Schizosaccharomyces pombe: one gene and its partners. Changing the gene in region 2 together with the main gene of any one other region gives a genetic interaction. Each region holds a gene or a part of one and is shown on either strand. Other genes may lie near its edges.

What was found.
Region 1: mutations in msd1 (region 2) and sib1 together harm fitness less than expected from each alone (positive genetic interaction), as found in Schizosaccharomyces pombe (one large-scale study listed by BioGRID).
Region 3: mutations in msd1 (region 2) and csi2 together harm fitness more than expected from each alone (negative genetic interaction), as found in Schizosaccharomyces pombe (one large-scale study listed by BioGRID).
Region 4: mutations in msd1 (region 2) and kti12 together harm fitness more than expected from each alone (negative genetic interaction), as found in Schizosaccharomyces pombe (one large-scale study listed by BioGRID).

What each region holds. Positions count from the first base shown.
Region 1 is NC_003424.3:866,109-872,289, forward strand, and holds the start of sib1 (ferrichrome synthetase Sib1), read right to left. Parts: upstream 3,577-6,181; 5' UTR 3,420-3,576; coding exon 1-3,419. Other genes in the region: sib2 (ornithine N5 monooxygenase), read left to right, coding at 4,917-6,181. UniProt on the Schizosaccharomyces pombe protein: Involved in intracellular and extracellular ferrichrome siderophore biosynthesis.
Region 2 is NC_003423.3:3,048,933-3,053,335, reverse strand, and holds msd1 (microtubule-anchoring factor Msd1), read right to left. Parts: upstream 2,786-4,403; 5' UTR 2,757-2,785; coding exon 1,761-2,756; 3' UTR 1,377-1,760; downstream 1-1,376. Other genes in the region: SPOM_SPBC13E7.07 (uncharacterized protein), read right to left, coding at 4-825; gpi14 (pig-M family mannosyltransferase), read right to left, coding at 2,859-3,092, 3,143-4,403. UniProt on the Schizosaccharomyces pombe protein: Has a role in meiosis.
Region 3 is NC_003424.3:5,360,404-5,366,473, reverse strand, and holds csi2 (protein Csi2), read left to right. Parts: upstream 1-2,574; 5' UTR 2,575-2,760; coding exon 2,761-4,566; 3' UTR 4,567-4,862; downstream 4,863-6,070. Other genes in the region: amidophosphoribosyltransferase Ade4, read left to right, coding at 513-2,114; met8 (siroheme synthase), read left to right, coding at 4,937-4,971, 5,143-5,902.
Region 4 is NC_003424.3:4,391,788-4,396,546, reverse strand, and holds kti12 (elongator complex-associated protein Kti2), read left to right. Parts: upstream 1-2,589; 5' UTR 2,590-2,657; coding exon 2,658-2,829; exon of another isoform or gene 2,830-2,974; coding exon 2,975-3,648; 3' UTR 3,649-3,734; downstream 3,735-4,759. Other genes in the region: vacuolar phytochelatin and glutathione S-conjugate ABC family transmembrane transporter Abc4, read left to right, coding at 1-615; tsn1 (translin), read left to right, coding at 955-1,017, 1,056-1,131, 1,180-1,416, 1,455-1,537, 1,580-1,748, 1,806-1,840; Sec7 domain-containing protein sec72, read left to right, coding at 4,123-4,759. UniProt on the Schizosaccharomyces pombe protein: Elongator complex-associated factor that is not a structural subunit but rather transiently contacts the complex.

The DNA of each region.
Region 1 (6,181 bases), on a different chromosome or scaffold from region 2:
TGTATTAATGAGATGAAACTTTCGTCGACAGAAGGTATTCCTGATTGCTGATAAATTAATATACTCTCAAATAAATTGGAAACTAGTAATTCTTCTTGAAAATCCGAAATTGCCATAACGGAATGTTTCAAAACGAAACTCAATTCTTTAAACAAGTTTTGACAAAGATTTTTATACGACAATTCATCATCCAGCTTAATGCGAACAGGCAAAGTTTGCATACATGGTCCTATAACATAGTCAACGTTTGGTAATAAACTGTTAACACGCCCTGATACAACAGTGCCTACTAAAAAGTCGTTTGTTTTCAAGTATGAGGAAAGAACAGTAGACCAAGCTGTTAAAAAGAATGATAATGGAGTAGTTTGAAGTTGCTTACAAATGTTTTCAACACTGAGCAGGCTGATATTTGAGGATAATTCAACAACACCCATCTTCTCACGTTGATAAGATAAACTTTTGAATTTAAAATCCTTCAAATATTTTTTCCAAAAGCTTATGCAATTTTTGTAGTTCAGTCGCCTAAGCGATTCTAATTCCTGAACATAGTCTTCAAATTGTGGGACGATCGTAAGCCGTCTATCGTGAATCAGCATGAATAATTGCTGCATAATAATATCGATGGACCAACCATCGTATAAAGCGTGATGCCAGACAATGCTGAGATAACAGTTACTGGAGTCATAAATTACAGCAGCATCCAATGGACCACTGTTTAGAAATTGTTCATCAAATTCTTTGGTAGTAAAATGTTTTTGAATGCACTCTAGGCAATTCTTTGAATACGAATACAATGGAGGCTTCTTTTCAAGAATAAACCGAGTAAATCCCTCATTTTCGTCCAAAGCAAAGCCATTACTCAGTATAGTATGTGTATCTAGTAATTTCTCCCAGGCAAGCTTAACTTTTTCAGGTGAAGCTGCAATTTTAAAAACAGTGTGATTGAAATATAGATTTCCATTATTTGAGAACGATTCATAGAGCATTCCTTTTTGAAGTGGTGTGCATTTATTAAGAAAATTGTTCTTTGACTGAACTTCGTTGGGTTTGAGTAAAATTAAGCTCTCAGCTATTTTGAAAACCACTTTACTAGTCAAAACAATTGATGGATTTGCCTCAAAACCTAAGGACCTAATCTTACGCACGAAATAGACAATATCTAAAGAATCCAATCCCAAGTCAAAAATCGACGAAAACCGAGAAATAGATACAACAGAGTTAAATCTCTTTTCACATATTTCATGTAACACATTAGCGACTAACAGTTCAGATTGATTAAAGCTAGAGAAATCAGTAGAGTGTTTATCAGAAGCAGAAAATTGAATTTTCAATGCTTTGCGATCTGTTTTTCCACTTGCTAGTCTTGGAAACCCAGGTAAGCCAACGTATTTTGTTGGGCACATCCAACTAGCAAGGTGGGATTCAGCGTGCTTTCTCAATTTCATTTCGTCGCCGACATAAAAAGCAACCAAATTGTCGCCAATTTTTTCAATAGCCAAAGAATCGACGGAGGGTGCTAATTTTGATTCAATTTCTCCAATTTCAATACGCCTACCTCTTATTTTTATTTGCATATCACCAGCAATCCTCCCGAATATATATAATTTCCCATTTATTATACGGCCCAAATCGCCAGTTCGGTAAATTGACAGAGTTTGTTCGTTATATTGAACCTCAACAAAGGCCTTTGCATTAATCTCTGGTCGATTAATGTATCCACTAGACAACTGTGGGCCAGCAATACATACTTCTCCTAGAAATCCTTCATGCAACACATGCGGCTGAGAATCTTCAGTAGGAAGTGAAACAACGCATATTGTTGCTGATTGTAATGGCACGCCAACTAAATAAACCGTGGTTAACGCTTTGGAAGGATTAAGCGTAACATGTATAGCTGCTTCTGTCGGACCATAAGCATTTACTAAACGTTCTCCCCAAAAGTCAATGATTCTATTAGTGAGCAACTCACCGATCGTTATGAGCATTCGAACACTTGTAAATAATTCCTTATTTTCGTCAAGCGAGATAACATTAGCAACAGTGGGTGTTAGTTCCAAAGCAGCGATTTTATAATCATATATTAAATACTCCAAATTTCCGATCAAGTTCTGCCTTTTCGAAGTCACCAACGTCAGACCGTTATTCCAATTTCCAAAAATTTCAAAAACCGATACATCAAAGGTCACGTTGGCAAACTGCAACCAAGCATCACCACGTTCAAGCCCAAACATTGGATATAAATACCCGTGGGATTTGATAGAATTGGTAGCAGCTCGATGAGAGATTGCAACACCCTTGGGATTTCCAGTTGAACCAGATGTGTACAGAACATAAGCAACGGAATCAAGGCTTTCAGGAAAGGGAAAGGGGGGTATCTCATCATCGACTTTGATCTCCATTGACTCATTATACTCAGGAACCTTTAATATAATTGTGTTATTAGGAAATCGATTAACAAACTCTTCAGAGACAATAGCAAAAGACGCATCAACATCTTTACTGATAAAGTGGACCCTTTCAGTACGAGTTTCTACATCAATGGGACAATAAGCATTACCACTGTAGAGGATTGCAAGAATACCAACGAAAAGAGCAGGTGAATGAGATACCATAATAGGAACTACCTCATTCTTACATGTAACGAGTTTGGAAAGTTTTATTGCCAAAGAGTGAAGCTCGAGAAAAGAAAATGATCTAAAGGTATCCTCCAGATCATCGCCAATTTCATATATAAACTTCAAAGCATCTTGATAAGGGTGAGAAAGAGTATTATGATAAAAACACCCGTGTAAATAATTAGCAAGAGATGAAGAGTTTAAGCATAAATCGGAACAAGGAGAATTAAGGATGGAGAAGGGGAGGTCGTAATTAGTGATTTTTGAGTTAATCATGAAAAAAAGTAATCTTGCTAAATCATCATCAAACAGAGACGAATTCCATTTTAAAGTAAGGAAATTGGGAGAACAGACAAAGGCTATGTCGGCAACCACATCCATAGATCGAAAAGCGGTTATGTCTGAAAAATAAGATAAAAGTTGATTCAAACATGGTTTAGATGATTCAAACAAATCGTCAGCAAAGGATGGATCTCGACGCGAAGTGAAAACGGCAGAATGTAGTTTATGTAGGTGAAAAACTTCTAAGGGTTCTAGTTGGGAGTTTGTAGAATGATATAAGTAGCATTGGCAATTTTTAGGATTAGTATTAGGAATCACATCGTCTGAAACAGGAAAAAAAAAGAATGAAACTTCTCCACCAGTGATACCACAAAACAGCCAACTCCAAGCGTCCAAAAATGCAGAGTAAGGATGTGAAAAGGGAAGTGATAAAACGTGATAGGGGGCATCACTTGACGGCCGCATAGGACCTAATTGAGAAATTTGAGTTGAGAAAGCATCTTCTTCATTTGAATTCTTCATAAGTCTCAATCAAAAAATTTAGTGACACGGAAATATTTTATAACGAAGGTGTTGTTTCACAAATGTATCAATAGCTAAAGGATGTATTAATCCTTCATTAAAACACAGTAGCAGTAAGAACCAAGTAGAGGAATATCCTGCTAAAATATGGATGCTTGTAATATTACACCACCCTTGCTTAACGAAGTTTAGTTACGTGATTTGGCGCAGCCTTAAAGTTCGTTATAATGTGCAATCAAAAAGGCCTGTCTAAACAAGGCAATCAACAAACTGGAAGTTTTTCGGGTGACTATTTTCATCGGAGTTTGCTCTTTTAAGTGAATTTTTCAATACTTTCGAAAGATCATGAAAAGCCTCATTACTAATCTTTTCCGAAATTTAAAATGGAGAGATATCAAATGAAGTGCATGTGACCTAGATTTTCGCTTACAATATTGCCCACTTTACCACCTTATATTTATCAGATCGATAGAGATCGGATGAAGAGAGTCTAGAAGATCAACGCGGGGTGCCGGTCGGTAAACCTGAGTCCAAGTAAAGGGGACTTTTTGTAGTGGAAAACGAATGAATAGAGTTTTCCATTTTTTCTGATGTCTCATTTAATCGATGCCATTCTATTAAAAAAAATGTGTTGTAACACACTTACCACTTCCTTTTCGCTTTACTCCAGATTTGCTTCCGCATAGTTCAAAAAACTACGGACTTGCGAGATACAGAGCATGCGACCGCAGCATAGAGAAAGTGGATGAAAAGGGGAGGGAAAGAAGATGACAGAGAAATATAGACCTTGGTATGCGGTAATTTTAACGATTTTCAAATAATTTCATAACAAAGACTCGGTTTTCCGTAATACTAAATTTGGCAGTACACTTTTCACCTTCTGTTTATACCTAAGAATACAAAACGATGCTTAATTTTAGGCACTTCTTATTTTTTGTTTATTCGTATGTACGCGAGGAGAAAACATATACCTGGCGATGCTTTGTTTTAATTTCCCATAAAAAAAGAATTTCGCTCAAGAAAAACAGAATTTTCATTTCACCATCCTCTTTTTTTTAACGGTTGTTTATGCTTCGAGATTTTCTCGGATTTCACAAAATTTCCACCTTAACTGCAGTTACGTAAGGGCTTAGCGCTATGACGGAGAAAGCGCGACATATGTTATCGAAAGGGAATGGACTCCTTAAAATACATGTGCTCATATACTTCCATTATATAGGCTCATTTTCGCACGTATTGTGGGTTGGATAACAATATTTTAAAATCGACCAACAATCTTCTTGCAAACATTTGTAGTAGTGCTAGCCTAATTAATTTCAAAAAGCCGCGCATTCTAGAATATCGTGAAACTTGGTAAGTATGAAAAGGAAAAATATGTTTTTTCGGATAATGGAACCAAGTTTTCTAATATTATTGCTTGCTTAGGGAAAATCCCTAATTATCTAATTAATTCATTTCGTCCCTCTTTCTTAAAAAAAAACCTTTGGAAATAAGAAAATGACTGAACCTCTAGATTTAGCAATTATTGGATTTGGTCCCGCTAGTCTTTCTTTCCTTATTGCTTTGCATGACCATTCGGAGGAGCCCTTAAAGAACAAAAAAATCCGCGTGTTTGAAAAGTTGCCCACGTTTTCCTGGCATGAGGGTATGCTGATTCCTGGTTCAAACATGCAAATCTCATTTGTAAAGGATTTGGCAACGCCCAGGGATCCTACTTCTTACTTCACCTTTTTAAACTATCTACATTCGCATGGCCAGGAACGATTATCTGGTTTCCTTAACATGTCCACCCTAGAGCCATCTCGTTACGAATACCATGACTACTTATGCTGGGCAGCCAGCCATTTCTCCAAGTTTGTCGAGTACAACGCTAACATTAATAAACTCCATTACGATGCCGCAACTGATCTGTACATTGTGGGTCACGGTGATACTCAATGGCAAGCGAAAAACATCATTATTACTACGGGTTGTCAGCCGTATATACCACCATTGTATAAATCAGTCGACAGTCCACTTATCGTCCACTCCAGTAAGTTCATGTCAGATCATAGTCAAAAGTTGCTTCGAAATTCCAAACACGGCATTCTCGTCGTGGGATGCGGTCAATCTGCTGCTGAAATATGGAAACACTGTCATTACTCTCTCGACCCCAAGACCCCTTTGGCAATGTGCTTTCGCAATTTGGCCCCAGTTCCCAGTGACTCAAGCCCTTTTGTGAATTCGCTTTACTTTGACAGCCATAACTCCCATTGGTGGTACAACCTTCCCACTGAAGCTAGATTGAAAGGACTAAGCGTTGGCCGTACTACCAATTACAGTGTTGTCAAAGAGTCACTATTGGAGGAGATGTTTAAGGAGTGCTACTTGCAAAAACTGAGGTATGGTCAAGAATTCCATCAAATAATGGGTGATACAGACATTCAGTCGATTAAGAACGAAGGCGATCATTTAGTTGTTCAATTGACTAGTCAAATGGACAAAAGCAAAAAGCCTGAAACTCGTAAAATTGATGTCCTGTATGTAGCTACTGGTTATGATCATGAATCATTCGATGTCTTAATGTCCTCCCTTTTTCCCAACTCGCAGGGCGCTCAAATTTCTGAGGAGTACTGTGTACTAAACGCCCCAAGTAAACAGGGAAAAGTCTATGTTGCCGGCATTACCAGCAATCAACACGGAATCGGCGAAACCCTTCTTAGCTGGGCTGCTATCCGAGCTGGTGGTTTAGCCAAGGAACTGTTTGGTCCGAGTAAACCAAC
Region 2 (4,403 bases):
TTCCTACCACAAACTATCATATCGGTTACCTTTGGAAGAGCCTGCTTGACCGTTGTTAATATAAGAGTAAGCAGAACGGCTAGAATTGTTTAGCCCTCCACGAGGCCTATTTGCTTCATGAAGCTCTTTTCTATGTGCAGCAAGCCTTCTTCGTTGTTCTTCATCTGCAAGTTCTTGCATTTCTTTAGCCCGTAGCTTTTTTTGTTGATTTTGACGTTGCCTTTTGGTAAGAGGTTCAGTGGATTTCTTTTTGCCGTACGACCTGGAGCTGGTAACAGTTTGAAAGCCATCATCGATATCGTTTGAAGAAAACGAATTATGTAAAGAGTCATCTGCTGTAATAGCGGCGAGAGATATTGATGACTTCATTTTCAAAGAGGAAGGGGTAGTTGAATGTTTCTGTTCTAATTTTTGAGTATCTTCAACGTCCGTAGTATCCTCCTTTTCAGCAGGATTTTTTCCGACCAATTTCTCCTTCTTAGGAGACTTTACTTTCTTGACTTTATGATTTTCTTGGAAAATTTTAGGTGTGCCCTTCTTTGGCACTACCACGGGTTCCTTCTTTGAAGAGTCTTTCGATTTCGACTTTAGGGCATCTGAGGTTTCCAATTTTTGGGATTTTTTAGAGGGAGTTTCTCGATTAACCAAAGTATCCTTCTTAGTGTTCTTTTGTTTCTGCCTCTGTTTCTGTTTACCCAACTTAGTAAGCTTAGACTTTTGAGGTTTGGTAGCTAATTTTTTATCACTTGAGACTAAAAAATAGTACGCAACGTAAACAGTAGCTATAAGAAATGCCCATCTAAAGAAAGCCTCCTCATAACCCATTCTTTATCTCAATGTGGAATAGTGTAAGTAGAGCAACCAAATGGCAGTCCAAGCAAGCGCCATAATGTATCAGGGAATGCACAATGCTACTTAACGATCCTTGATATATAGCACTATATGTTAAAAAATGTAAACAATAAGAAAATGTGATTTCAATAACAAAAGGTAATTATATTGTTTAACATTGAACACATTTGACAAAAAAAACTAATGTACTTGATCACACTACTAATGCTATTCTAAATTCGCTAAAGACTTGTCGCCAATAAAATTAATACACCAACGTATTCGCTTAAAAAGTATAATTAAAAAAAAAAATTGTTAAAATTTATTTATCATTATAGTAACTCTGATTTTTACTTTTTTAACAAAACCACCAATAATGATTTTTGAAGCTTACTAGTACCTTAAATATTTTGTTCTATTAGGGGTGTGTTAGTAGTTTTGAGCAGAATTGAAATTCGAAATATCAATATATTTATAATTATGTAGGTGTTTTTTTACAAATATAAAAAAGAATTAAAAATAACTTATGACTTTTTAGAAAATATTCCGGTTAATTATTTTTTTGAAGATTAAACACAATCGTAAGTGCTCCAACTAACTTTTACATGGAAATAATTAAATCGACTTTCTTGAGCTAGTGCCTACAATCCTTTAACAACATGCTTTCAAAGCCCTGGTGCACTGTTTAACAGTTTCACATTTTAAGGTATGTTAAATCGTTCAATTGAGAATAGAAATTTGCCTTCAAAATTCTGTACTTAGTGAAAGAAGATGCACTTGTTTACAATAAATAAATATTTAAAAAAATAAAAAGCAATCTTCCAGTTCTCAAAGAGGAATATAAGTGTCTTTGAATTGCGTTCTTTATTATTAATAAATTGGCTTTCGTTTAAGAAATCGAAGCAGCAAATTATTACGTTAAAAGTCAGTCAAAATTTGTCGTGCATATTTGTTAAAAATTCAAAAACTCTTTTGTTCTCCTTTTGAAGAATGTTTATCAAATGTTTATTTTTCTCGTTTTCCTCTAATATTGCATCCAATTCATCAATTGAAACATATTTACGTTCATGCAACAGATTACGAATAAAAAGCAGCTGATTTTGAATTTTTGCATCAAGAAGGATAGCATTCAGTTCACATACTTCAAACGGGTTCGAGTTAGGACGTTCGTATAAAGGACTTAACATCTCTACCAGTGAATTCAAGGTACCACTTAAACATGTCAAAAGTGTTCCGTTACTTTTTTTCAATTCGTTATTTAATCCTTTTAACAATTGAAATTCATCGTTATTCACCCTACTGTTAAGGAAATTGGAATTTTCATCATTCTGTTGCAAAAATGAAGCGGTCTCAGGTAGTATGGGGGCATTTGTGTTTTGCTTAATAGGCTCTTTAACGATTAACATACTATTTAGGTTTCTTCCTTTTCGAGCTTTCACTAGTCCATAGTTACCTTTCAAAGTCTCCATTTGTTGCTCATGCTGGCGTAATGAAACAGATAATTGATTCTTTAATGCCTTCAAAGTCAATTCATTTTTAGCATTTACATCTTTCAAACCTTTATTTTGTGTAATTAATTCAGCTTGATCTCTTTCCAGTGTTCTAACTTTATTCAGTTGCAATTGACATTCGTTTTGATAAAGCTCCAACTCATTTTTGAGCCGTTTTATTGTATTGTTATCTCTTTGCTTTTCATATTCATTATTTTTAATAGCATCAAGAAGAGATTCCTTTTCTAAACGTTCTTCGTCAGTTGCTCTTAATAAACGATATATGATGTTCACTATGTTGCAATTATCACGAATGTCATGAGAAAGGCGTAACTTTTCAGCTTGTATTACTCCTTTGGAAAATAAAGATTTGTTAATATACAAAAGGCTTTCTTCTATATTGCTGGGGTTGCAAAAAACAATGGGGGTGGTCATCTTCCAATGTTTACACTTATTAATGCGGTGGTGAAGAAATAATGTAGAACATCCTTATAAAAATCATCTATTGCATAGAACTTAAAACAGATTGATTATTAACTACAAAGAATCTAATATTATTTTTAATTCATAAACATTAAAAAAAAAAAAAAGTAAGCCGGAAAGCCAAAGAGGTATAAATACCGATTTTCCCAACATTTCTAAATTGTATGCACTAATAAGCCATAACAGCTGACCAATAATCCACAGAGACAGACAAATAAGTCCCTTCTTACTTAAAAGCTTAGAGTTTGGTAAAACCAGAGGTAGAAATACTAGATACCACATAAAATACTAAGTTGTTAGTATAATCCGTCATTCTTCTAATTTCAAACTTAACATACCTGACTGGTACAAACCTTATTAAAGGTTACAAATGCAAATGTTTGGGCAAATAGAGTCCCAGGTAAATTCTTTTTTCCAAAGACCAAGGGTATTAGCATGCACAAACTTAACTGCGGCAGAAATGCAAATAAAGAAGACGCTTTTGCTCCGAAAGATGATTCATAGTATAAGTTTAAATGATGTAGAGAGAAATTATGTCGATGATCTGTTCTACCAAAGTGGTAAAGATATGTATGTTCAAGGAATGGAGACCCGTAAAGGTAATACATCAATAAATTACATATCGTAAACATAAACAAAGAACCAACAACAATCTTTAACTGATTAATCGATAATAAAGATAGAAATTTTTCCATGAAAGTGGACCCTTTTTTTGGTTTTGAAAAATATACTAAGAAAGCAATCCCATACATAAATGGGTAAATTTTAAAATGCACAGAAAACCCAAGTATTAGGCTAGCTAGCCAAACTGATTTTTTTTCGATCAAATACAACAAAGCAATGCTCAATATACCAAGAATGGCTTCACAATTCCCTCGAGTACTGATTATGGCGACGAATGGGTTCAATATCCAGAAGGAAGAGTAAATTAACGACCTTTTGTAAGATATCCTCCTAGATAAGAGCTTAATCATAAGCCACCCAGCAATTAAGTCTGATATTGAAAACAAATATTTACCCCACGACGGAAATCCGTATTGAGTAGGAAGAAGCAAAATTGCCAACATTGGAGTATAGCGATATGTGTCACGCATATACGGTGACATTCCTATGGAGACATATTTTGATGCGTCCGAAAACACGAAATAATCGATGTCCGTAAATTTAAGGGCAGATCGTCTATCATGCCAAATACCATAATTCAACAATACAAGTCTCATCAATAGACCCAATAAAAGTAAAAGAAATGCATCAGTAGGCGCATATAGGAGATATAAACTACTTTCACGTAATTTGGTAATCATATTTTCACGACTATTGTACTTTGACAGTAATTTCATAGCTTTTGCATAATGGATAAGAGCTTCACGAGCACTTGTATTGAATAGACTGCAAACTTTCACATCCAAATCAATGAGATATTTTTCATCCTGGGTTAAACGATATTGCAAGCAAGATTGAATAAAGCACTGAATTCGCAAATATTCTTTATCTGAGACACTAGTGTTTGTCCATTCAAGCAAAGAATTGGTAACTCCAGCAGCTAGTAAAGAATATGCCTTTTCATAATTTTGAAAGTTGTATGATTGAATACCTTTG
Region 3 (6,070 bases), on a different chromosome or scaffold from region 2:
ACTATCATTTAAGGCGGACAATAAATTAATTTATACGGCAGCAAAATTTTGCCTTAACAATATACCCAACTACGGTGTTTGTTCAGCGCGTACCTGAAAATCTTTTTTTTTTTGTTTCGTACGCGTTTTAAAAAGTAAGTTAATATAGATATTGATTTTCCAACGCCGCAGTACTTGCCTATGATGATTACCGTTTATTTAGATGCTAGACTTCTGAATTTCATCTTATGTAGCTACAAGGTTTTCTGAGGTCTGCTTAATTGATTAAAATTTTTTATTTTCTGTGATGGTAACATACAACTCATTTTACGGTCGGTACAAAAAAATTGAAATTATATTCCAAGTATTCTCAAACTTTGATTGCTGTCCGAATAGAACAGTCCGACTCATATTATTTTAATCAAGTTATAGCAATTTGACTGGGTGCTGTTTTTTCTTTTGTACATTTAAACCTATCATTTTATTATCTTTTGTATTCAATTCACAACCGAAGCTCTAACAAGTTTTAGAAAATGTGCGGAATTTTGGCGTTAATGCTTGCTGACCCTCATCAACAGGCATGTCCTGAAATTTATGAGGGTCTTTACAGTTTGCAGCATCGGGGTCAAGATGCCGCCGGTATTGTAACCGCTGGAAACAAAGGTCGTCTTTACCAATGCAAGGGATCCGGCATGGTTGCCGATGTTTTTAGTCAGCATCAACTTCGCCAACTCGTAGGTAGTATGGGTATTGGTCATTTGCGCTATCCTACTGCTGGAAGTTGTGCTCACTCTGAAGCACAACCCTTTTATGTTAACTCTCCTTATGGTCTTGTGTTGGGCCATAATGGTAATTTAATTAATGGACCCGAATTACGACGCTTTTTGGACACTGAGGCCCATCGTCATGTAAACACTGGATCTGATTCTGAGCTTTTGCTTAACATCTTTGCTTACGAGCTTCAACGGTTGGATAAATTTCGTATAAACGAAAATGATATTTTCGAAGCTTTGCGTAATGTATACGATCGCGTTAATGGTGGTTATGCATGTGTTGCTATGATCGCAGGCTTGGGTGTTTTGGGATTCCGTGATCCCAATGGCATTCGTCCTTTAGTGATCGGTGAACGTGATACCCCCGAAGGAAAGGATTACATGCTTGCTAGTGAGAGTGTTGTATTGACTCAATTTGGATACCGTACATTCAGAGATATTCGCCCCGGTGAGTGTGTCTTTATTCGTCGTTCCAATAGGGAAGATATACTTGCAGGGTTTAGAGGCCCTCGCTTGTTTTCTCGTCAAATCCTTCCCTGCCTAAGATTTACTCCCGATATATTTGAGTATGTCTATTTCGCTCGTCCCGACTCTGTTATTGACGGATTGTCCGTATACCAATCCCGTTTAAATATGGGTGAAAAGTTAGCGCATACTATAATGAAACGGTTTGGTCCCGATTACATGGAAAAAATTGATGCTGTCATTCCTGTTCCAGATTCTGCTCGAACCAGTGCCCTTGCACTTGCACAGACAGCTCAACTGCCATACGTCGAAGCTTTTATTAAAAACCGATATATTGGTCGTACCTTCATTATGCCAGGTCAACAGATTCGTCGTAAATCGGTTCGTCGTAAATTAAATGTTCAACCTCAAGAGTTTTTTGATAAGAATGTTTTAATTGTGGATGACAGTATTGTTCGTGGTACCACCTCTCGTGAGATCGTTCAAATGGCTAGGGAGTCGGGTGCAAAGAATGTCTATTTGGCTAGTTGCGCTCCTATGATCACTCATCCTCATGTCTACGGTATTGATCTCGCTGATTGTAAGGATCTCATTGCTTATGGAAAAACTGAGGATGAGGTTGCTGAAGCAATTAGTGCCGATGGTGTCATTTATCAAACATTAGAAGATTTATTAGATTCTTGTCGTACGGCTGAGCTGACCGAATTTGAAGTTGGTCTCTTTACTGGCGAATACACTACTGGCGCTAGTAAAGAATATTTAGTCCATCTTGAGCAAATGCGTATTGCTAACAATCGTGCTCGTAAGCATAGCTTTGCAGAAGATGAGGAACGTGAAGCTCCCGAAGACATTTCTCTCCATAACACACATTCAGATGTTACTTTTGATTTTGTTTAATTCCCCAATTTATTCAATGCTTAGTGCTTTATTATAATAACCAATCCTCCATTTACTTTGTCTAGATTGATGCTCTAATCCATTGTTGAATACTAATAGAATGTACAATCGCCCCATCAATGGTTTTTTGGTTGATTTTAATTTCTGAATTTTTGTCCTCTTGAAACTTTTCTTGAAATTAAAGATAATTTCATCAGCTCCTTGTTGTTAATTTTACTTTTTGTTACCAATTAATATATATTGTTTCAATATATAAGTTTACCCATACTCTTTAAGACTATTAGATTATAAGTAGTGTCTGAAAAAAATTTTCTACACACTTTTATAAACATGCAATAATATACAATATTGGTTTTTTTTTTTTGGTCTCTTAACCTTTTCATAAAATGAAACATAATTCAAAGTCTGTTTGTACTATTTGCATAATTATGTTACAAACTCTTTCGACGTTTTTACTTGTATAGTCCACCAACTTCTTCATTTCTTTATATAAATGCGTATAACGGTAAAAGCATTCTTTCGTTTAATCAATAACTAAAAACCTATTAATTTAAGTCTATGTTTCAATACAACTCACTGTTTTGGCGAAACTCGTGTTGAATGATTCCGAAGAGAGGGGATTTCGATATCATCAGTGCCTTTTGTGATGATGTCTAGAAAGCGACAGGCATCCTCTAATGATTTTTTTGACATGGAACAGCTTTTGATAGCGAATGATGCATTAGTGCATCAGAATCACTCTACTCCCAATCATGCAAGCGACGAATTGTCTGTGAACGACCCTTCGCCTTTGAGCCGTGGCCTGCAGTCAGATGTCAACTCAAACATATCTAGAAATATCTCTAACACATTCTTTAAAAAGTCGATCTTTTTCTTCGTTTACTATTGTAAGCAAGCTTTAGAATTTATCAGCACTGTATTTTCCATCATAAAGTTTCTTTTGAACCGTCGAAAAGTTAGCTTTTTACTCTCATTTCTTTTGCTTTTCTCGTTGTTTTTACTAATACCTAATGATGGACGAGTAAATATTAAGTTTTTTTATAAGGATTTCGTAGACAGAATTCCTTTTCGGTTCATTCCTTCAAATTTTAATATAAGTTTTGGCAAACACTTGGAACAAGCGAAATCTCTGTTTAAATCCAAATTTGGTAATTCCTCTTCAACATATAATGAACGTGATTCTATAATGCCATTGCTAAAGCTACAGTCAAACCTTACAGAGGCAAAGACACTTCTTTATCAAAATCCAATTAGCCCTGAAGATGTTTTATTACATTTTTGGGATAGAAATTTAATGAGTACTTATGATCTTAAAATACAGGATATAAATGATTCTGTTAACCCTCTACTGAACACTTACCTAGATTTTATTGAAAAAGACATATACCTAGTGTCGCATCTGCCTGTTTCCGAAAAACACCCTGGGAACATCCCGATTTCATTAGTCAATAAGAGTGTTCAAGCCATTTGTTCTTTTGCCGAACATTACAATTTATTGCGAAATCCTTCGTATCGGGGCTTTCTGAGAATTAACAATGGAGAGTCTATTTTTAATTTACTTTGCATTGAAGATTTACACGAAAGTGTCAATCTTGATATTCTTTGTTTGAAAGATATATTACGGAACATTGCTCAAAGCTCTAAAGAAGCTATGTATATTGTAAAGCGACACAACTCATCACAGTCTTTTTATGGCAATAGATCGACCACCAATTTTTCAATCATAAACTCCGGTTTATATTTAAAAAAAGATGCTGCTAAAAATCTTTTGGCGAAGCAGTTTGATGCCACATATTCTTATTATCATAAAGACCTTGAGGAATCTGTTCATCAAAAACTCAATTCAAACTTAGAAAAAAGAGTTGAAAAATACATAAAACATTCTTGTTCCCAGAGAAATGTTGCTGATCACCCGGACTTTGCCTTGAAAGTTGTTGGTGCTGTCGTGGACTACGGATGGACATTTCCTAAGCCTAAATTTTCTGACATTTTAAGGGATTACTGGGGAAAAAAAGCAAATCTACCGACGGCTTTACTTGACACAAGCATCAATAGTAATTGGTGTAATTACGAAGATACTGTACAGGTTTCTGTGCGTTTAAATCGACCAATGTACGTGCGACATATTTCACTAATTTTTCCAATACATGGTGATGATTCTTATTTCCCGCGTGAAATCCAAATGTTTGGGCTTATCAATGATATCAATTATCAAATTTTAAGCAACATGAACAACTTGGTTTTGCTTGCCACGATTCCTGTTTCTTTGTCTTCGGTGTTCGAAGTAAATTATTACTATCTTCCAAAATTCTCGGACACACCTGGCCTTCTGGAAGAAGCTTATTTTAACACATTTGTGTTCAGGGCGTTTTCAAAAAATGAATCTTTGACGTCGCAAATTTGTTTATACCACATTGGTATACATGGTAAGGAGATTAATGAAGAATTTTAACGTCTTATTTAAATACGACTAAGTAGTCTAAGAGCCACTTTCATCTATTACTTTTGTATGGATATTTCTTGTCAATGAAAAAAATATATAAATTTAGCATATTAATTAATCTATGATGTATAGGAATATGCTTAGTTGGTGCTATGAAATAGTTTCAAAAATTTGCACGTCCTCGGGATTTTATTCACAAGGTAGTTTTAATTCACTGGAAAATTTAGGTCTTAAATAAACGAATAGTATACGCGTAATAGGATTCCCAACTATTAACCCGTATAGGGAAGCAGATACTGAATGTCGAATTGTAATTGGCGATACTATAATTCTCAAGTATACAGGAACACCTACACTTGGTTAAGATAAAATTTGAATAATGGCTTCAAAATATCAGTCTGTGCAGCCTGGTGGGTAAGTCAAGCATCTTTATGAAGTTACAAGGCTCTATAAATCATTTTCAGCTTTTTAGTATCTTAACTTTCATCTACACAGAATTGAAAAATTAGCAAAGCATACAAAATGAAAGCTAGCAAAGTTTTTTGATGTATCTCAAGGTAATTTTTAGGCTAATCTAAGCTTTAGATCATTAATTATTGCTTGGCGTGCACAAGGTAAAAAAGTATTAATTGTTGGAGGTGGCGTTGTGGCAGCTGGGCGTATATTGCATGTTTTGAATGCGGATGCCCATGTTATCGTTGTAAGTCCAAAAGCTGGTCTTTGTAAAGAAGTGGCTTGGAGAATACAGGAGAAGCAAGTTGAATGGCGAGACAGGGGATTTCTAGTCGAAGATTTGTCTGACGATGTAAACATGGTACTTACAGCCATAGATGATCCCAGCTTGTCTTCCGAAATTTATAAGTTATGCAAAAGCAAAAAAATCCCGGTCAATGCGGCGGATATTCCACCTGAATGTGATTTCTACTTTGGGTCTGAAATCCGTAACGGCCCTCTACAAATTATGGTTAGCACCAATGGTAAAGGTCCAAAACTTGCCAGTTTAATACGAAAAAAAATCGAAAGTTCAATCAATCCAGCTACTGGTATGGCATTGGAAAAAACTGGCCTTTTACGACAAAAATTACGAGACATTGTTCCCGAACCTGAAAACAGTCGCAAAAGAATGAGATGGATGATTGAGATTTGCGAACTGTGGTCTTTGGAGGAACTTGCCATGCTCGACGAAAATCTCATCAACCGACTTTTGGGATACTTCCCAAAAAAAACACCTAGTTATCGAGAAATAACGACTCCAGCCTACAGCAAGATAGACAACTACATATGGTTTGGAGCAATTATAATTTCTGGGGCTGTTCTCCTCAAACATGTTTCAAAAGCTCGTTAAAAGAAGCGTTTGATAAGTTAGTTGCTTTACGGAATATGACAATTACATTACTTTTCACTTTAAAACATTTGAATTTTGAATGGAATTTATTAAAAAACTCTTGTACTCATAGAAGGTTATTTTTCATATAATGCTCCCTAAACGAAAATGATACATCTTTGGAAAAAA
Region 4 (4,759 bases), on a different chromosome or scaffold from region 2:
ATTAGTGGTGAAATATATATTAACGGTCGTGAAACACAATCGGTAAACCTAAACGCTTTAAGGCAACGTATATCATTTATCCCTCAAGATCCAATCTTATTTTCAGGTACCGTACGCAGTAATTTAGATCCTTTCGACGAGCTTGAAGACAATTTTCTTAATGAAGCTCTCAAAACAAGTGGAGCCAGTTCAATGATTATGGCTCATACTGATGATCAAAAACCTATTCATATCACACTAGATACACATGTTGCTTCTGAAGGTTCTAATTTTTCACAAGGGCAAAAACAAGTCCTTGCATTAGCACGCGCAATAGTTAGACGTTCCAAAATTATTATTCTAGATGAGTGTACTGCCTCTGTGGATGATGCTATGGATCAGAAAATTCAAAAAACATTGCGTGAAGCATTTGGCGATGCAACTATGTTATGTATTGCCCATCGTTTGAAAACTATTGTTGATTATGACAAAGTCATGGTCTTGGATAAGGGTGTATTGGTAGAGTATGGTCCCCCAGCCGTACTTTATCATAATAATGGTCACTTTCGACGTATGTGCGATGGCAGTGGAATTACTTTTCTGCCTCCTGAAACTCGAGGTTCGAAATCAGCATGATTTTAATTTTAAATAATGTTGGCTGATGAAACTTATTTTGTAAGCTTAGATTAATTTAAAGGAAATTATTCAATTAGGTTAGATTCTTCTTCAGTTACATAATATATCATTTTACATATAAAAGATCTAAACAACCCAAGCGTTTCTTTAGCAGCTAGTAATAATTTTAGTTAATAACTTGCAAAATACCCGCTAAATTGATTATCTTTATTTTACGACTTAAGAAAAAGGTTGGTATAATCTGGCTGATAAATATCACAACGGTCGTGTTATTTGCATACTGAAAACATCATTCGAATATCAACACTACTCAACAGCATACATTACAGATTAAGTCGAATGAATAAATCAATATTTATTCAGCTACAAGATCAAATTGATAAAGAACATAGTATTCGGGAGGTACTAATCTTGGAAATTATGACAAACTAACATTACAGAAACTGACTGCAGAGGTCGATTTGTTAGACGAAAAGTTAAGAGTTTTGCAACTTCTCTTGGCAAACTGTGAACAAAGTAGAAATGAAAATTTACAAGAAAAAGAACATGGACTAACTTTGGAAGATTTAGAAAATCAGGAAGAAATTTTAGAAGCTCTTGAGATCATTAAAAGCAAAACCAGAGGATTAGCAGAATTGGCATCGAATTTTCCATACTATAAATATAACGGAGTCTGGGATCGATCAATTCAGAAAGTTGTTTATTTATATTTGCTAGCTTCCTGGACCGGTCGTTTAGATAAAAGTTTAAGACCCACGTACAGCCTTCTATCGCTTTCCGAAGTTGGTCAAATTTTGCAAGGTGCGTAAATTATTTTACATTTTTCTCACAATCTTCAGTCCCGGTTTTTCCAGAAGAGTCCACTTTTCATCTTTCAATTGAGCAATATTTGCACGCAGTACTATCTCTGTGTTCTGAACTGGTATATATTCTATTCAACAATCCAAATTGACACAATTTCTAGGCTCGTCAATCTGTAAACTCAGTAATATCTGGAAACTATCATATTCCATTTGAGGCCCTAAATACTATTCAAAAAGTTCATTCTTCTTTTCAAGTACTCTCTTTGAAAAACGACTCCTTAAGAAGACATTTCGATGGATTAAAATATGATTTGAAAAGATCTGAGGACGGTATGAAATTTACGTGGATTTTTTTTTTTTTTGATAGTTTATTTCTGACATATGCAGTTGTTTATGATCTTCGGATACATAAATTGGTTTAAATTGCTAACAATTTATTTGCCAGCTGTACGCTTGACTAAAATTGAGCCGATAAAATTGCTTTTTTAATATTAGGTCTGCTTATTTGCTATGAAACTGGCAGTCCTATGATGAATGCAATTATATTTCTCTTTCTTTAATTTTGTTACACTCTCTGGCAAACTGAATAGTTATTTAAAAAAAAAATATTTCAGCCTAGGTTTCTTTAAGTTCTGATTTTTCTTTACCCAATATTCAAGACGTTTTCCAGGGTACTAAATTAATCATTGGACTGGTATACAACATGTGTTATAAGTTAGTCGCATTTTACCAGATACATGTTAATGGCGGCATAAGTAGATACTTTTCTAACTTTTAATCAACTGCATTTAGCTTATATTTCTTGATGTCCTATGCACCTTTAAAATCTTTCAACAAATGATTACTATTTTTAAATTGAACAACCCTGATTGCGTAGAAGGCGTGCATGTTTTTTTAGCGATTAAAATCCGGGGTCTTACTAGTGTTAATCCTTAATTCTTTTAGAACAATTGATAAGGTAAAGGGAAGCAAGATTAAATTAAAGAGACCGCAAATTGAAATTACTGTGTTTTTAAGCCTAAGCAATACTTACTAGTCGTAAGTAATAAGTCAGTACCGAAATTGAGCGCATTACGAAATACAAATTAAGGATAAAAATTAACTGTTTACTAATGTTTAACGAACTAGTAATTTTCGTTAAATTCATGAAAAAATATATCAAAAAAAAGCTGGAAGTTTTCAAACATATGTTTTACGGCTGATTTTATTCAACCTTCTATTTTGTAGAACATAAAGAAAATGCCATTAATAATTGTTTCAGGTTATCCATCTTCAGGGAAAACAACGAGGTCAAATGAACTTAAAAAGGCTTTAGAAGATCGAATTCATCAAAATATCGACAATACAAAGGATTATCGGGTGATAATAATAAACGATGAGAGTTTAAACATTGAAAAAGAAACATATCGAGGTATGTTTAAATAGTTATCTTTAATGATTTAGTTTTTGGAAATTAGCCAATTCATTTTTGGCTTCAGATTGTGCCCAGCTACTCTAGATGATGGGAGAATCCGTATATGCAATTTTTCGTAATTCTGGTAACTAATTTGTCTTAGAGTCCAAGAACGAAAAGGCCGCTCGTGGCCTTCTCTATTCTGCTGTTCAGCGTGAACTTTCAAAATCTACATTCGTAATTTGCGATGCCTTGAATTACATAAAAGGATTTCGATACCAGTTATATTGTGAATCAAAGTCTATGTACACAACTCATTGTGTGATTCATGTTGCTGTTCCTCAAGATTTATGTCGAAAATTCAATAGTAACAAGGAACAGCCGTATCCTGACGATGTTCTTGAGCAATTAATGTTTCGTTATGAAGAACCGAATGGAATGACACGATGGGATTCCCCTTTATTTACTGTCTTGCACGATGATGCTTCTTGTCCTATCGATGACATCTGGTCAGTTCTTATTCATAACAAAAATGTCAAGCCTAACCAAGCTACAATGGTAAAACCTCCAGCTGAAGTCAACTATTTATATGAATTAGATAAAACTACTCAAGACGTAATCATGCTTATACTGGATAATTCCAACGATACCTCCTTGATTACTGTACCAGGGAGCAAACTTCAAATCGCATTACCCAGTGTTACAGTATCTCTTCCTTTACTTCAAAGATTGCGCCGTCAATTTATCCAAATTAACCGGCAACAATCATATAATACCAATGTTCTCAAGGAAATGTTTGTCGAATTTTTAAATGGTCAATTTGAAACCTTGGACTGATATCCTTTTCTTAAACTTTATGATATTTTTTTTTGGGATTTTTAAGGGGACGAAAAAATGTAGCCTAATATTAATACTTAACTTTGTTTGTTTCTTTTTTTTAGAACATGTTTAAAATGGTAGAAATCGTACATTTTGTTTAATTCCTTAATCCTTTTACAGTTTAAGGAATGCTGTCCTGTAAAAAAGAAATAAGAAAACGTTCACGGTCAATATCGACAATAAAAGTTTCAGTAAAACAACGAATATTGTATAAATCTAGTTATAATGTTTACTATTTAATCCATACTGTAATAAAACAATTTATTATAAGTCTCGCTCGTTTGCTTTATATAAGTAGCACATTGAACCGAGATCTAACGTTCGACACATTAAGGCCGAAAACACTTAGCAAAGACATACTCCGCCTTATATTTCATTGCTAAAAGTTGGCTCGTCTAGACGGCAATTGGCTTGAACGTGACCGATGCCAAAATGCAGGATGCCTCTGAACCTGTGATCAATATGCCTGCTCTGCCTATGAACTCCGTGAATGAGCAACATGACAGACACGAAGATCTTCCAGAAGTTGGAACAACATCAGTTACTAAAATTATTAATGATTCTGACAACGAAGATGATGAAAATGGTATGGATCTCGGTCGTGTTGCTTCTGAAAGTTTAGAAGGCGATGCTGTGGTAAGTATTGATATAAATACAGAAGATTCGTCGTTGTCGCCAGCGAAACAAGAAAACGAAAAGAGTCCCGAAGGAATCGAGCAGAAATATCAAGAAGAAGACTTGAAAGACGACAAAAAATCCAATGAAACTATCGCGACGCCTGTACCTGACGCTGCATCGAGGGCCAGTTTGGAAAAGCAAAAATCAGGTTTAACCAATTTGGAAAAATCCACTCATGTAGTGCTTATAAAGTGCATCGAGCAGCTTATACAAATAAAAGTTTGTATGAAGAACGAGAAGATGAAGAATTTAATGGAGCAACTAAAACCTCTTCTACAAACCGAATGTCAGTTTGACAAATTTTTGATAGTAGAGTTATTTCAGTACTGCTTTGAATCCAGTCAAGATGAAGTTATGAACATTTCTTTAGACACTATTTCTAAACTTGCTT